2 linked regions of the Callithrix jacchus genome follow. The protein of the gene in region 1 interacts with the protein of each later gene in a biochemical or structural test. Links are inferred from orthologs where the notes say so. Each region holds a gene or a part of one and is shown on either strand. Other genes may lie near its edges.

Region 1 (3,809 bases):
AAGCAAAGAGATTTGTTTTAATAAGATCATTTCAGGATATAATGGTTAGGTGGTTGTAATCTTCCTATATAAAAGGAATTAAAATGTAAAAGTAAGTGTTAGGCCGGGTGTGGTGGCTCACACCTGTAATCCCAGCACTTTGGGAGGCTGAGGTGGGTGGATCACAAGGTCAAGAAATCGAGACCATTCTGACCAACATGGAGAAACCCCGTCTCTTTTAAAAATACAAAAATTTAGCTGGGCATGGTGGCACGTGCTTGTAATCCCAGCTACTCAGGAGGCTGAGGCAGGAGAATTGCTTGAACCCAGGAGGCAGAGGTTTCAGTGAGCTGAGATCGCGCCATTGCACTCCAGCCTGGGTAACAAGAGCGAAACTCCGTCTCAAAAAAATACAAAAATTAGCTGGGCATGATGGAGGTGCCTGTAGTCCCAGCTACTCGGGAGGCTGAGGCAGGAGAATTGCTTGAACCGGGAAGGCGGAGGTTGCGGTGAGCCAAGATTGCACCATTGCACTCCAGTCTGGGCAACAAGAGCGAAACTCCATCTCCAAATGAAGGAATGAATGTTTTGTTTGTGTTAAATTTATTTAATAAGATACCATTAGTGTTATACTATGGATGGTTAGTGTGAAAGTTAATGAATTTAAGGTTCACCGTCTGGCAGTGTGGCTCATGCTTGTAATCCCAGAACTTTGGGAGGCTGAGGCGGGTGGATCAGCTGAAGCCAGGAGTTCAAGACCAGCCTGGCCAACATGGTGGAACCCTGTCTCTACCAAAAAATACAAAAATTAGCTGGGTATGATAGTGCATGCCTGTAATCCCAGCTACTCAGGAAGTTGAGGCAGGAGAATTGCTTGAACCTGAGATCAAGCCACTGCACTCCAGCCTGGGCGACAGAGTGAGACTCTGTTTCAAAAAAAACTAACCAAAAAAAAAAAATTAAGGTTTATATTTAAATTTGTTTGAAGTGTACAAAGATCTTAGTTAACAGCAGAGACAGTCTTTACAATAAATGTTGATCTTGTGCTTTTTACAGACTTTTTAAAGTAATAGATTAATGTCTGCTATTGTGCTTTTTGTCTCACCATCACTACAGGTGAAGCTATTGGTATGGGTTTTCCTGTCAAAGTTCCCTACAGGAAAATCACAATTAACCCTGGCTGTGTGGTGGTTGATGGTATGCCCCCTGGGGTGTCCTTCAAAGCCCCCAGCTACCTGGAAATCAGCTCCATGAGAAGGATCTTAGATTCTGCCGAGTTTATCAAATTCACGGTCATTAGGTAAGTGAGTTTCCTGCTCAGTCACGGGAACAAATCCTGAGCTCATGAGGCTGAGCCATCTAAAATGCAGTCACAGGGAGACGTTGAATCAGGCTTCCTATGCAGTGCAGTGACCAAAGGAAGAGAACTTGTTTTGTTATTAGGATGTTAGATGCTTTTCTGCCTAAGCGTTGGCAAACCAGCACTGCTAGGTTCAGCCTGCCTCCTGTTTTTAGAGTCTTTCTGAAACACAGCTACATCCATGTTATTCATGGCTGCTTTCCTGTCACAGGGAGTAAGTAGCTGGGGCCGGGGCAGCATGGCCTCCGGAGTCTAAAATATTTTCTCTCTAGCGCTTTATAGAAAAACCTTGGCCTGTAATCCCAGCACTTTGGGAGACGGAGGCAGTTGGATCACCTGAGGTCAGGAGTTCAAGACCAGCATGGCCAACATGGTCTTGCGCTCCTGTTCAACATGGTAAAACCCTGTCTCTACAAAAATACAACAATTAGCCGGGCATGATGGCAGGTGCCTGCAATCCCAGCTACTCGGGAGGCTGAGGCAGGAGAATCACTTGAACTTGGGAGGCGGAGGTTGCAGTGAAGCAAGATTGTGCCACTGCACTCCAGCCTGGGCGACAGAGCGAGACTCGGTCTCAAAACCAGGAAAGCCTTGCCAACCTCTGTCTTAGGCACCTTGTCAGGGCTTTGGGTCAGGCAGATTGGATGTCACCTCAGCCATTCGTTAGCCGGGTCACTCTGTTAGTTGTCTGTAAATGAGAGTGCTCATTGTCCCCCTTGAGAGTGTCAGCTCCTGTCCATAGGAATAGGCATGATGACTGTACCCACCCCCGACAGCATTGAGAACGCCACATTCCTTCTCGTGTCCTTGTCACAATAAGAGATGCCCACCTGAGGACCAATCCCAGGTTATCTTCCCTATTCTCTTCCAGCCCCCAGAAACTTACTACGACTCCACCTTCCCAATCCATTCGTCCAGCTGCCACTGTCTCTAGTTCAGATCTCTTAGGACTGGCACTCAGAAATCTCATAATACATCCTCTTGAGGCTTCTCCTCATTCACTCGTCTTCTTCCATCCTTCCTTCCCTAAAAATCCCATGTTTTTGTTCCACTTCGCCATGGCCATTCTCCATATCGTTCCCAGGAGTTAAGCAAAAAGCCTCTTCCATTGTTGCGTTTGAGTCACTCTGTTCCCTGCTCTGCATTTTATTGTGAAACACTTCCTAACCATGTTCTCATTATTCATACATATCTGTCCCTTCCATAAGTTTACAAGGTTGTGGGTAATATTTCTTGTGGTGGCACATAAGTGACACGGGCTGGGTATGAGCTGAATGAACAGTCACACCTGTCAGTTCTTGCGGAGTGGAAATAAATTGTTCTACCTTACACTCTGTTTCTCTCTTTAGACCATTTCCGGGACTTGTGATTAATAACCGTGAGTATTTTGTGAAGCGTTTGTCTTTTTGCTTTCCCTGGGGTCTGACGTGTGTGTGTGAGTGTGTATACATGCTTACAGTATCTCGTGTTACCTCACTACGTCAGTAACCGTGCAAACAGTCGTCTTAGCCCTCAGTAAAAACACCCGGCATTTCCTCGCTATAAAATGATTCAGACTCCTCAACTTTTCCTATCCCCGATGAACTTAATCATAAAATGGTAATAACAGCACCAGTCTGGGGACGGGAGGTTTCCAATAGATGGAAAGCAGCTAGAATAGGTGTCAGCAAGCTCCTGCTGATGTGTGCGCATAAAGTTTTATTGAAACCACTATCCTGTCCATTTGTTAATGGCAGAGTTGAGAGGTCACAGCAGCCAGTGTATGACCTGCAAAATCTAACACCCTTACTGACTGGCTCTGTAAGAAAACACGTTTGCAGCCCCTAACCTGGAATAGTGACACGGGCTATGAGCCCACAGTACGTGCTTCGCCCGTGGTATGGGCTCGGCAGACACAGCCTCTGTTTATCACTGCTGTTATTGCTGTTCTAACCACTGGGCTTGAATTTCGTGGCAGAGTAGGTGGTTTATTTTGTCTGTGCCTGCTTCCGTTACTATTTAAGCACACTGACTGGCACACGCCAGGCTCTCAGATACTGCTGAGTGAGTGAACACATACCAGTGTCTTTAGTTCCTTCATGTTTGTGTCATTTTCAAAAGTATTTTCCACAAAACTTAATTTTGTGAGTACGTTTTGTTTTCTTAACTTCCTTATTAAAAATGTATAAAAGTTGGGCCGGGCGCGGTGGCTCACGCCTGTAATCCCAGCACTCTGGGAGGCCGAGGCAGGTGGATCACAAGGTCAACAGATCGAGATCATCCTGGCCAACATGGTGAAACCCCGTCTCTACTAAAAAATACAAAAATTAGGTGGGCGTGGTGGTCCACACCTGTAGTCCCAGCTACTCGGGAGGCTGAGGCAGGAGAATTCCTTGTACCCAGGAGGCGGAGGTTGCAATGAGCCGAGATCGCGCCCCTGCACTCCAGCCTGGCAACAGAGCGAGACTCCATCTCAAAAAAAAAAAAAAAA
Region 2 (4,322 bases), on another chromosome or scaffold:
CTCACCTGGCAGCGCCCCTCCGCAGTAGGGTGTGCACGAGGACCCCTTGGCTACGCCCCTTCGCTCCCCACCCCCCCTTGCCGCCACGCCTCAATCCAGGGGGCCGCGAGGACCGAACTCGGCCCCAGGAATCCCCCACAGGTACCTCCAGCCATGGTGTGTGCAGCAACCGGTAGTCTCCCGAGCGCGGGCCCGGCCCGCCCCCTCAGCACCCGCAGCATCTCGGTCACTGAGACCGGATCCGGAAGCAAGGGTACCGCCTCCCGCACCGCCCCCGCAGCACCTGTTCGCGGCGCCGCTAGCACCATCCCACCGCAGGAGTCCTTAATATTCTCCAGCGTAAGCCATAAACGACATACCGGTCTGGGCTAGGAACCAGGACGCAGGGTAATGAGTACAGGAGCAGCACCCCACCCTGAACTTGCCCCAGCCCATACTGGTCAAAGGGCAATGTGCCCCTCCCCTTCAGCCTGTGGCCCACAAAAGGAAGAAAAGCAGACAACTGTGGCTTTGAACAGTTTTATCTTTAAAAAAAAAAAAAAAGAAAAAAAAAATCACCCCCACAAGGGGGAAGGCCCCAAGTGGGCCCCTGCCTGTAGTTCTCCCTGGCTCCAGAGATGTCTGCACAGGCCTCAGCTTCTTGCTGGCCAATCTCCTCTTCATGGGCACCAGCCACTGCTAAACATCCTTCCCCCATTTCTTGTGTAAGCTTGCTCCCCTGAGCAGCAGGGTGCATGTCTAAACCTCAGCTCCAGGGAAAGGAAGAACCAATGGAAGTGCCAGAGTCCTGGGGCAAGCCAGAGCATCACCCGTCAGCAGACCTCTGCTGGGCACTCTAAGCAAGCACAGGACAAGCCCCCCAGTTTAGTGTGTCCAGTATCCAGCATGGAGGCAGCACATGCATTGTGCGAGAGGAACGCAAGGGCCCAGGGGCTGCGTGGTGGGGGTGGGCAAGGCTGTCAGTGCACGTTCACATTGTGTGTTTCACACCACTGCAGGCTGCCATATCACAGGGCCTCAGTTCAAAGACACACCTTCTGAAACCCCCCCCAGTCCCCTGCCAGAAGTGGGCAGTGAAGGAAAGGGGCACGGGATTAGGCTGTTGCTTCCTGGGCTATCTGCAGTTCTTGGGCCCAAAGCCCCTGGATCCCCATAGTTAGTTGCTGTCATTCTTGATGACGACCTCTAATCCGTGGTGCCGCAACTGAGCTCGCAGCAGCAGATTCTTGTTTTTAAGATCTTCCACCTGACATGGGAAGGAGAGAGTAAATGGAATGGGTAGTAAAGCTGGCACTACCAAGCCCCTGAATGTATTCAGACATCCACTGGTGAGAGACGAAGCCCTCTCCATGGAGAACAAAGTAGAGGGTGTCAAACTGGGTCAGTGGCTAGTAGAGCTGAGAAGGGCTGCACTGGGGGTGGGCATCTGACCTGCTGTCGAAGCACGTCATTGTCCAGCTGCAGTTGGTCGAGCCCCTGCAGCTCTTCAGACAAGCGGTGGTTACTCTGCCGAAGCTCCTGGATATAATCACAAGCTTTGGATAGAATCCCACCTTTACTCTGCAAGATAAGGCCGACAAAATGAGGACTAGGATTTGAGATACCCAGCTTGCTTTCCAAAAGTAGGTTCACACTTTGGACCTCATTTTCCCCTAAGAAAGGTGGTATAGTATCTCCCAGGGATACAGGAACTTCAGGGAGAGGTCATGTGTGCCCTACTCTCTACCATTTCTGGAAACAATACCAGGAGACAGAATTCAGGCATCCTGCCCACTACCAGGGTCTTTCCATGACCTGGCCAGACTTGGTGCTCTCCATAGAGCAGTCTGGGATGATCTTGGAGAGCTGCACGATCCAGTTGTTGATCTTGTCTCGGCGGCGGCGCTCCACTGTGGAGCAAAGTGGAGGACAAGGTGACTCCGTGAAAACTCACTGCAAGTCCCAGGGTAAAAGTACCTAACCCCTCCTCCCCTCAGACATCACTGCTGTCCTAGGCCCACCAGACAGTTCCTAGCTCCACACAGATCTTACCTACCTTCATTGTGCTGAGCTCTGCGTTTCTCATCTCGAGTTGTCCGAGGAGCTTCTGACTTCCTGACAATAGAGCCCAGGGTGACCAGGGTAAGAGAAGGATAAAATACGTGATTGGAGTTTAGGGTTAAAGAATTATACACGATTTAGCAGGTATTAAGGCCACTTAAGGCTAGATGGGTGAAGTGTGTCACACCTGTAATCCCAGCACTTTGGGAGGCTGAGGCAGGTGGATCAATTGAGGTTGGAAGTTCAAGACAAGCCTTGCCAACATGGTGAAACCCTGTCTCTACTAAAAATACAAAAATTAGCCAGGCATGGTGGTATACATCTGTAGTTCCAGTGACTCGGGAGACTGAGGCATGAGAATTGCTTGAACCCTGGAGACAGAGGTTACAGTGAGCTGAGATTATACCACTGCACTCTAGCCTGGGTGACAGAGCAAGACTGTCTCAAAAACAAACAAACAAAACCACTTATGGAATCTGAGAAGAAACAAGGGTCACTCACGGGGAATAAGGGTGAGTCCTAGGGGCAATTGAGCGCTGGCTTCCTCCCTGCAGTACTTCTTGTGGTGACATCATTACAAAAAACTGACCTGTGAAGACACAGGATGATTCTGTCAGGACATGAGTAGGAACCTCACCATGCCCTGAGGTGAAGACCCTGGGCCCCCCCTCTAAAAAGAACATGCTAAAAGAAGAGCATCCCCAGACTCACTGCCTGCCCAGGTCCTAATGATCACTAAGAGTCATGAGTGAAGGCTCACTGCCTACCAGTCATGTCCCACAGCCTATCCTACCCTTCCAGCCAGCATCCTCCCGAAATATCTCACCAGTGCCAGGAGGGGTCGCCTGCCCCAGCAGTGCCTCTGAGCCCTGGGTAGTAACAACAGCAGCTGTACTCCCCGATGTGGTACCCCCTGCCCCATCTCCCACTGCCGTGCTGGGGAAGTAAGTATAGTGCGTCTCTGCAGCTGTCCCCTCTGTGTCAACTGCATCATCACTGGTGAAAGCACCCTGGATCACTGCCTGGGAAGGGGAGCAAGAGAACAGATTCAACAGTCAAAAACTTCTTCCCACTATACCACTTTGCAGCTTCTATCCCTTGGGGTAGCGGGTAGGGTGGAGAAGACAGAGAGAGAGAAAAACGTCCAGAAAGGGAGAGCCTAGTGTTTTGGGACAAGGTAGCCCTAGATGCCTCACTGTTCCTAGCTTCACCCCCATCCTATTGCTTCCCTTCTTCATCTTACTTCTCAGAACTCTAGTCATCTCCCAACCAATATCCTGTACCTGGGTCATGGATTGAGTGGCAGGGTAGCCACTGATGGCACCAGTGCCCTCAGTCTGGCCATCCAGCTGCCCTTCAGACACCTGGATCACCCTGTACATCACCTAGAAGCGTAGAGGAAGGCAGAGGGAGGGGAAGAGAGAAGAACAGATTAAGTGCTGGGAATCCTAGGGCCCCTCATAAAGCTTCCCTTGGATAGGGCCCCAAAACAAGAATCCTTCAGAGACACAGATTCAGCCATTCTTCCTTCTTTCTCCACACACAGGTTTCAGCATACATCTAACCTCACACCAGTCTCTACTCCAGTATTCGCACCTCCCTCCCCTGCAACAATCTATGCTTTCAGCTCATCCTCCAAGCCAGGTCACCCCAAGACATGTTCAATTACCTCCCTCAATCCCAACCCCAAATAACACCTACAGCCACCTGGCCCCCTCCCTTACCTGGCCCCCATTCTCAGTTCGGAAGACGTACTTGACGTTGGGGTCAGGGAAGGTGGCAGCTGACTGGATGCTGGCAATAGCCACACTGGTTGGATCCTCCCCAGTAGCCACTGCACCTGAATTAAAAGAACAAAGGAAAAGTCTGCCTTTCTCCCCACCGCCCCCCACCCCACACCATCCCCATTCCACTTTCATGTCATTGAAGGAGGATGCACAGGAGATGGTCTGGTCAGGGAGGAAGTGAGCCCATGGTGGGTTCTTAGCCGTGGTTCTGTTTCTAGCACTCACCTTCCTGAATCTGCACTGTCCCCTCTTCCGTTTCAGCTGTTTTCTGCTGCCTGTTTATGGTGAAAGGACAAAAGGAAGAATATGGGAAGAAGTGAATGAGAAACTCACTGGCCCAGTAACATATGGCTGCAAACTCATTGGCATTCCCAACAGATGCTGGGGTAGGTTAGAATAACAACTAGTGTTTACTGTTTACTATGAACACACACTCAGCTAAGTAATAACATGTATTCTTACTTAATACTAAAAACAGCACCAAGAGATAGATAG

What was found.
Region 2: the proteins of GTF2I (region 1) and USF1 form a complex in vitro, tested with the Homo sapiens proteins (2 studies listed by BioGRID). The link is inferred for Callithrix jacchus from reciprocal best matches to the Homo sapiens genes GTF2I and USF1.

The regions. Positions count from the first base shown.
Region 1 is NC_133503.1:9,011,887-9,015,695, reverse strand, and holds part of GTF2I (general transcription factor II-I), read left to right. Parts: intron 1-1,095; coding exon 1,096-1,279; intron 1,280-2,688; coding exon 2,689-2,717; intron 2,718-3,809. UniProt on the Homo sapiens protein: Interacts with the basal transcription machinery by coordinating the formation of a multiprotein complex at the C-FOS promoter, and linking specific signal responsive activator complexes.
Region 2 is NC_133519.1:20,900,191-20,904,512, forward strand, and holds the end of USF1 (upstream stimulatory factor 1), read right to left. Parts: intron 4,103-4,322; coding exon 4,053-4,102; intron 3,881-4,052; coding exon 3,765-3,880; intron 3,426-3,764; coding exon 3,324-3,425; intron 3,063-3,323; coding exon 2,867-3,062; intron 2,630-2,866; coding exon 2,542-2,629; intron 2,095-2,541; coding exon 2,036-2,094; intron 1,890-2,035; coding exon 1,795-1,889; intron 1,561-1,794; coding exon 1,432-1,560; intron 1,247-1,431; coding exon 1,157-1,246; 3' UTR 506-1,156; downstream 1-505. Other genes in the region: TSTD1 (thiosulfate:glutathione sulfurtransferase), read right to left, coding at 146-155.